Linked DNA regions of Arabidopsis thaliana. The protein of the gene in region 1 interacts with the protein of each later gene in a pairwise test. Each region holds a gene or a part of one and is shown on either strand. Other genes may lie near its edges.

Region 1 (5,140 bases):
TAGCAATATGAACGTAATAAGCCAACTATATGAGTGTTCATCAAAGTGAAGAAGAAGAGATTACATTGTCATGATCCATGTGGGAAAGGAGCTTGATCTCTCGGAGAGTTCTTTTAGCATCAACTCTGTTGTCAAACGCGTTTGCTATCTTCTTTATAGCAACCTCTTCATTTGTCTCTGAGTTTGTAGCACAGCTGTAATCATAAAAAAGGATTTGAGATTAAGATTGTATTCAAGAATGGTATGTTTTTTTATTGAAAGTGATAAAGACTTACCAGACAATACCATAAGCACCTCGGCCGATGGGTTCAATAGGAGGGATGTATTTTGAAGATAGCTCGAAAATGTTACCGAGTACATTGTACATAACATATCTACCATCATATGTCAAGATCCCTCCATCTTCCCTTTTCTCCATCTCTTCTTTGGAAGAAGAACTCGGATCAAGACAGGTTTTAAGATTAAAAAAGGAAGCAAGTTTTAAAAGACTGTTTCTCAAGTAGCTGTTGTTGCCGTTAAAAAGGCAAAGCAGTGAGTAAGAGGAGAGAAAATGGTGGCACCTTTTGCTTTTGGTGGGCCAAATGAAGACAAACTTTTTTATTTGATCCGTTGAACTTCGAAATTTGAATGAGAATTATTATTACAAGGTTAAAACTTGACTTCTGCATCATTAAAGAAAAATTCAAAAGAAACAAAAGAGAAGTATACTATAGAAAAAGCTATCTCATTGTGGATCAATAGGTCCCTAGGAACCAATAGTAAGTAAAAAGCAAAGTGGTAAACATACAAAAGCGAGATTATTCTCAAGTCTCATTTCAATGTCAAAACTCTCTCTTGTGTGCTAAGTAAACAGAACCTGTGTGAAAGTAAAACACCTCTGAACTCATTTTCACTATCTCACAAACCTGCATTATCGATCCAATTCTCCCATCTTATATCTTCTTACATATTAAGGATCAGAGAAGGTGATCAAACCTGATAATTATGTAGATGTAGCTGAAGCTAAGATATAAGGCTCAGGAACCACAAAAACATATCACTGAATATTTCAAATTAGCTTCAGCATTTTATGAGTCAAAATACTAAGAAACAATGCAAATTCTCTCATGAAAAGGCTCTCACATTGCTTTTGCATTCTCCGCAATTATGATCCAAACCTTAACCAAAAACAACTACCCTATAAGAGTATAAGACCATGTCTGCAGAAATCAGTAGTAACACAAGAATTTCATGAGATATTAAAGAAGAAGAAAAGTAGGCCACACAATAGAATTGAGGAATCAAGAAAACAGATACATACACTTGGGAAGGACCAGCACAGCAGACGTCTGTTACTACTAACTAACTCAGACTTGTCATTGAACTATATTATATACGGCTCACTTGTTTTGCTGCAGTAACTGGCTTATCTTCTTTTCTGGCTTGCGTTAATAACATGAGTAGAGAGAAAACACGACTTCCGTCGAGTAGATTCCTATCAAACAACACCGGTTCTCGAATCTTTCGACAAGCCAAGCAAAAGTAGGTGGGCATGAAAATTTGTTCCCCATGAAACAGAGGACATTCGTTGTTACCTATTCTAATAACCGATTCAAAATTCCGAATCGCAGACTTAATAAATGTGGACAATTAACCAAACCGTGCATTGCTAGGTCTAAACCGCATTGGTTTATGACCCACCAATCAAGGAGCGATGGGTGAGAAACCTAATAACACTGCTGCTGTGACTTTATCATATCCTTAGTCCAATTGGGATCTTCGTCTGCGTGAGACGCGTTCACACCTGCGACAGATGAAATCACGGAAATACCACTGCCCAACGTGTTCGCAATAAAAGTCCTCTGATGCCTAATTTCGTCAATTTACTGAAGAAAATTCAACATCAACGCCCTTTTTGATAATTTCCCCAAAGTTAGTGGGCCCTCCACACGAAGCATGTATCCTCCAATTGCATATTGCCAATTATTTCCTAATAATATTGAAGGATTATTCTTTTCCCATCTATATACCACCAACCCTAAGATCCGAACGTCCATTTTAAAGCCGTGCGTTTAATCATGATCGTCAATTATATTGGCAAATTTGACCACACGATATCCGTCATCTAACGGCATCTACAGATCTACCAGAACGTTCTCATTCATGACTCTATATATTTCGCATTTCTTCTCCTCAACGCTCTCATAAAAAGTAGTACTCGTGTCTTACTCGTGCCAGCCACTCGCATTTCTCCAGATTTTATTATCCTTCCTCGAAACAAGGTATGACGGAAACTCTCTCTCTCCCTCTCTGATCCGTCGTTGCTGCTTCCATTTTCATCTTGACTCGATCGGATCATTGTTATGCTTGGCTTGATCTGTGCTTAATGATGTGTTTTTCGTAGTAGATCCACGATTCGTTGCTGCGATCGGCGTTATTATCGTCAGCTCTCTCGTTTCTGTTCTGTGGTTCGATATTGCTGAGTTTCTAGGCTAATCTTACGAATCTGTGAAAGTTTTTGAGAGATTTGGCTTCTGTAGCTCACTCCTGCTTGATTTAGGTTTTTTTTTTTTCCACTCGTATGAAGCTGTTTTAGAGGCTGTTGTTGTTTATGATTCTCAGCTTGTTATGTATAGTTGGATTTCGTGAGTTTTGGATTTGATCTGTGCGTTTATTTAGTAGTGAGGCTCATGTATATATATCTGTGTATTTGTTCCAGAGCTTAGCTAAGATGACGAAGAACTACCCAACCGTGAGCGAAGATTACAAGAAGGCTGTTGAGAAGTGCAGGAGGAAGCTCAGAGGTTTGATCGCTGAGAAGAACTGTGCACCCATCATGGTCCGACTCGCGTAAGTAACTAACCATATTTGCTTGTGGTTTTGAAGTATGTAGGATTATGAACTTTCTCATGGCTGATCTGTCTGGCTAAACTGCAGATGGCACTCTGCTGGAACTTTCGATTGTCAATCAAGGACTGGAGGTCCATTCGGAACAATGAGGTTTGACGCTGAGCAAGCTCATGGAGCCAACAGTGGTATCCACATTGCTCTTAGGTTGTTGGACCCCATCAGGGAGCAATTCCCTACCATCTCTTTTGCTGATTTCCATCAGGTACATGGTTTTAAATTTTAAAAAGCACTATTTGGTTAACGGTGATAACTGTAAGGTTTGGATTCTAACTCTAGATATCCTTGTGGTGTGAAATTGATCATTCAGCTTGCTGGTGTTGTGGCCGTTGAAGTTACTGGTGGCCCTGACATTCCTTTCCACCCTGGAAGAGAGGTTAGTCATTGCTGTAGATTTGTTTGCCGTCTCTAAGGTTATCATATACTCAATTTGGTCGAGAGAACGTGTTCTGCTTTCTTTGTAGAGATGGCTGATTGATAATTGTGGGACTTGATTTTCTGTTTCTAAAATGCATATCTTGATTTCAGGACAAGCCCCAACCACCTCCAGAGGGTCGTCTTCCTGATGCTACCAAGGGTTGTGACCATTTGAGAGATGTCTTTGCTAAGCAGATGGGCTTATCTGACAAAGACATTGTCGCTTTATCTGGTGCCCACACTCTGGTTCGTTTCTCTCCAACTGCTTAAAACTTTAAAATTTGTTTGCTCCAAGCTTACAAATTCTGATGAGTGCTAGCAAAATATGATATCGCAGGGACGATGCCACAAGGATAGGTCTGGCTTCGAAGGTGCATGGACATCAAACCCTCTAATCTTCGACAACTCTTACTTCAAGTGAGTATCCCAAGTTCCCTTGTAGGAGGATTCAGTGGCTTATATGGTTACTAATCAAATTATATATGGGCAGGGAACTCTTGAGCGGAGAGAAGGAAGGCCTTCTTCAGCTTGTCTCTGACAAAGCACTATTGGACGACCCTGTTTTCCGTCCTTTGGTCGAGAAATACGCTGCTGTATGTCTTTCATTCCCTTTTTTCTGTTTTTCACTTGGTAGAGAGAGAGAGAAGAGAACTCATGGTTTCTTGTGACAATGTGAACAGGATGAAGATGCCTTTTTCGCTGATTACGCTGAGGCCCACATGAAGCTTTCTGAGCTTGGGTACTTATCCTGAATCTATGAATCATTTAGAAAGTAAATATTAATTCAGTGGTGTGATTTGAGTTTGTATCTGTTGGTTGCAGGTTTGCTGATGCTTAAGCTGTGACGTATGCTCTGTGTGTGTGTGTGTGTCTCCCCGAGAGTCATGGCTGTTTTTGGTTGGGGGCTGGAGGGGTCGCATTGCATTTGAACTTTGTCATATGATTGCTTAATGTACTCTCGGATTTACGTATCTGTTTTTTTCGGTGGGTTGCGATTTGAACACATCCGTTGCGCTTTTGCTGCTTAGACACATTAATAAAATTAATTTCTCTCGATATTTATGCCTCAAATCCATTCATATCTGCTTAGTCTCTAATAACAGTAGAACTTGGATTAAGAGTTTGAAGATACAGTGGCTAATTGCCTATATAAAGTGATAAACAGCCAAATCTTTAATCAGAAGTAGAAGTATTAGTATAACATGATTTGACTATGTACTACGAGATCAATGGTAAACCTGACATTGTTCCAAAACCAATCTAGACCAGTTCACTTACCGAATTTTAGTTCCATACCCATAAACCAATCCAAAGTGATTCTATCACCACATGCAACAGCATGTAATGATGTGGTGCCCGAATAGGCGGATTCCATCGATGTTGATCAGACGATGCTTTAGATCAAAGACCGGCGTGAGCTGAGACGGATGGCTCTGGCTTATAATGTCACCACTATGATTACCAAAGTGTTTGCTGCTTTGATCACGGCCGAGGGAGTAAAGAGCTTGAAGTCAAGTGTTATTCAAATGATTGTCATTCAGCACTCCTTTTCTAGGTGAAGGATCTTGCCTATGCGCTTCTCTAAAACCGTTTTTTTTTCTATTTTTATGTTGTCGATGGAAACGTCTCTTATTTTTATCTTGAATTGAACCGAATCTGCAATTAGGACCCTCTTGAATCTTGAGTGGTCTATGTCGTAATCAGGTTTTAGAAAAGATGAGATTGGAGCGACGAGTAGAGAGAAGGGAAGAGTGGAGTGACTTTTTGTGAACACGTTCACACCATTTAGAGTTCGAAACGGTTCTTTTTTCTTTTTGTGTGTGTGTGTGGGAAATTG
Region 2 (3,680 bases), on another chromosome or scaffold:
AAATGACTAGTTTCTTGTGCCTTCTTTTTGAGCTTACTTACCCTTTGGAGCAAAACTGTTAACTTTTGTATCTCGTTCTTCTTAGATGTTGTAAGATCATATGCTATTGCCATTACATCAGTCCTGAGATGGAGTCATGGTGACAGTAATATCAGAATTCCAAAATGTGGGGACTTGACTTACAATTGAGGCCAATACCATAAATGGACAATAGTAAACAAAATGGATTAACCAATATGCATGAGACATACTTATCAGAAAACAAGGGATCCAAACTCTGTTCTTCGACCAGCTCCTCGACTGTATCAAGAATTGGTCCGACCTGCAAAGGGGAAAGCGTTTCAGTCAGAAGAATTTTGAAAAAATCTCTTACTTCACAAGTGTGTGGATGACAAAGCAAATAAGATGTACCTGAGTTTCGTGACATTGTTCATCAAACTCTTCCTGTAACAATGATGAAAACATAACTAAGAGTTTACAATTCATCACACTATGAATAGCCAAAAAATCACAAAAATTCATGTTTTAGAATAAAAACAACAACTTGAGAAAATTTCAGAGCAAAGGGTTACTACCTCTATTGTCTGATGCAAATTCACAACAACCTAGAAACATGTCAGAGAAAGAAAGATACATGAGAAAGGCTTCTCCTTGATTCATGTAACATAAAACCAATGGATCGAAAGAGAATGATAAAGAGAGATACATACCCGAGTATACAACTGAAAAAGCAGTTCTTGCTCAGCCCCACTGAATTTCGAGAAAATATCAACAAAATCCTACATAGTGATGGTTCACATAAAAAGGGTTACTATTAGTTAGTTAGTACACTACACATAAACCCGAAACAAAATCAACAAGACACTGCTATAGATAGATAGACAGTTCTCAAACCAGAAACAAAATCAAAAACCAAATTCAATTCTAATTAACTCAGGATCCAATCATCGAGAACACTTAAACCCTAAAACTTCAATTTTACCTAAATCAGACAGAACAAAACCCAAATTGCGATTTAAAAAAAAAAAAAAACAATGGAAAATGATTATGACATTGAAGCATATACCTGTTTGGAGCAAGCAGTGAGAAGATGTCGAAGAGTGGATTTGAATGATTTCTTCAGATGGGTTCGTCTTGAACCCGCAATATCCGTTTCATGACCCGGTTTCTCCATCTTAACCCGAATGATAACTTTTTTTTGTTGGTTTAAAGATTCCGGAAGAAGAAGTTGCTAACTGGTTAAAAACAAATGTACAAGTTGACAGAGAGATCAAGGACGGAAAATAGAAAATATCCCGGGAAGGCCCAGTTATATAGGCCCAGTTAAAACCCATAAGATTTTAGATTCAGACACAAGACAGGCATAGTAGTAGTAATTCACGGCCCATTACTTTTTCCTTTTTTCTTTTGCGCCAATTAACATTTTTTTTCTTTTTGCGCCAATTAACATTTTTTTTTCTTTTTGCGCCAATTAACATTTCTCTTTCCTATAAATTAAACCAGCTTAGAACGAAATTTTAAGGCAATATTTCAAATCGAACAATACTGCAAAACCAGAGAGAGGGAGAGCGAGAGAGATCAAAAAACCCTAATCGACTAAATCCTCTCTTCTTCTTCAAATTTTTGGTTAATTTCTTCGGCTGAAGAATAATAATCATGAAAACTGTGACTTCTCAGCATCCTTCTTCATTGTCACCACCATCTTTTCTTCCTCCACAAATTCCCGTCGAAGCGTACATAGGAAGTTTCGTCACTCTGATTGCTAACTTCGATATACGTTACGAAGGCATACTCTGTTTTCTCAATCTCCAAGAGTCGACTCTAGGTCTTCAAAACGGTACTTTATTTCGATTCCAAAACCTCTAAGAAACTTTGATTTGTTCTTTTCTTGTTGTGCAAGCTTTTCTAACTAGGTTTTTTTGTTTGTGGCAGTGGTATGTTATGGAACAGAAGGAAGGAACCAAAACGGAGTTCAAATTCCTCCGGATACTAAAATTCAGAATTACATTCTTTTCAACGGAAATAACATTAAGGTTAGTTAAATTGTTTTTATTTACGTATAATAATCACGAACCACCATTAGAGATTTGATTATTAATCTGTTGATATTTTTCTTTTACAGGAAATAATAGTTCAGCCTCCTACTTGGGGTTTAGCAAGAGGATCTACATGTAGTAAATCTTGTCTTGCCCCAAACCCACCGCTTCCTATAATTGTCTCACCAAACAATCGATCCGACGATAAGATACTCCAACAATTTCCATTGATCTCGAATGAAAATCTCATTCAACCGCAAGCTAAGACAGAGTCGAATGCTTTCTCAGTTAATGGATCAGTCAATGATAGATTTCCCATTGCTTCTCAACCACAGTTTCCTTCATACTTCTATGACCCTTATGTTTACCAGTCTATGCCTTATGCTGAACTTAGTCAAGCTCCTATATGGACGAATATTATGCATGACTCATCTGCCTTCAAGGTAACGTCTGCTGCAAGTCAAAGTTTTTTTGCCACGTTTCCGCCTGCGCCGATCTCTATTCAGCTGGTAATCTCATACATTCTCTATATGTTTCTGATCTTTGTTTTGTATTCCTTAAGCACCATCCCATAACTAATTACTTGTCTTTTGGTTGTAGAATTCTGTAAGATATGATTTTGAGGCAATGACTAAGAACGCTAAGCAGTACAACATATGGGGTCCTTCCCAAACCAAGGAAGAAGAGAGTTCAAAGGTGACCTTATATCTCTAGCTTAGTTTAATAGAGATCCGATGCTTTGAAGTCAGATGTTCAAGTTCCAACATATGTGTTTTGTTTTTTTGTTTTTTTGCAGCCTACTTATAACATTGATGGATCTTCTTACAAGATCTCGCGCACTCCGTTTGAGCCTATTGGGAGACCTTGAAATCCGCTTGGCCCTATCGCGAGACCTGTGAGAGATACCAAGGTTTGTTTCACAGCTTTTACCTCTAGTTATTCATTGAAAGATTACGTATATCCAATTTTATTGATAATTTTAATATCTTCATATTTCAGGTATTTGGAAATTACATACAAATGAGACTTCAATTACAACTACCACCAACATATTTCTGTAGTGGATACTATATGCCTTACTGACCTGTGAATCTCTGCTTTTGGGGTTTAAACATTTGTTTTGAGTCGATATCTTTTGTGGCACATATCATTAAGAATCATGTGTCTTTTGGTATCATGAACTTACCTTTTTTATTTAGGATTTTTGAAAGAATGTTGTTTCTTTCTTTTTTTCTTTTCTATTTGTTACAACCACTGATAAGTTAAATCTTCCAACATATGTAACAGTCTTTACTGTTTTTCTAGTTCCATGTTTAATTCTTCTCTATTCCCTTTGAGTTTTGACTTAAATGGGTCAAGTATAGTTGACTTGGTAAGTCTTGGGTGTCTGCATCTCCCACACGTGTGAAAGTACTATTCTCTTATTCATGTTGTAATAAGTTATAATCTTAGATTGATCAGAGTTATGTAGACCACTAGTTGAGGCTTGTAACTGGGAACGAATCTTCCTAATTGCCAGTCAATTGAGATAAAGAAGAAAATAGCATAATGCATAATTATTATACACAAGTTGAAACTATCGCGACATTCTTTTAATTGGTATCCTAGGTGACCTTAAGTGGTTGATGGATGAATTAAATAAGT

What was found.
Region 2: the proteins of APX1 (region 1) and AT4G19360 interact in a two-hybrid assay, tested with the Arabidopsis thaliana proteins (one large-scale study listed by BioGRID).

Annotation. Positions count from the first base shown.
Region 1 is NC_003070.9:2,435,295-2,440,434, forward strand, and holds APX1 (ascorbate peroxidase 1), read left to right. Parts: upstream 1-1,986; 5' UTR 1,987-2,261; exon of another isoform or gene 2,262-2,698; 5' UTR 2,699-2,710; coding exon 2,711-2,829; intron 2,830-2,916; coding exon 2,917-3,091; intron 3,092-3,196; coding exon 3,197-3,262; intron 3,263-3,414; coding exon 3,415-3,549; intron 3,550-3,640; coding exon 3,641-3,720; intron 3,721-3,793; coding exon 3,794-3,896; intron 3,897-3,983; coding exon 3,984-4,042; coding exon of another isoform or gene 4,043-4,055; exon of another isoform or gene 4,056-4,125; coding exon 4,126-4,141; 3' UTR 4,142-4,371; downstream 4,372-5,140. Other genes in the region: ATMPK13 (Protein kinase superfamily protein), read right to left, coding at 65-194, 276-418; AT1G07885 (uncharacterized protein), read right to left, coding at 1,369-1,533.
Region 2 is NC_003075.7:10,562,503-10,566,182, forward strand, and holds AT4G19360 (SCD6 protein-like protein), read left to right. Parts: upstream 1-1,656; coding exon 1,657-1,837; intron 1,838-1,932; coding exon 1,933-2,033; intron 2,034-2,122; coding exon 2,123-2,479; exon of another isoform or gene 2,480-2,545; intron 2,546-2,636; coding exon 2,637-2,732; intron 2,733-2,832; coding exon 2,833-2,904; downstream 2,905-3,680. Other genes in the region: EMB3006 (embryo defective 3006), read right to left, coding at 42-123, 252-322, 412-444, 576-605, 711-779, 1,067-1,174.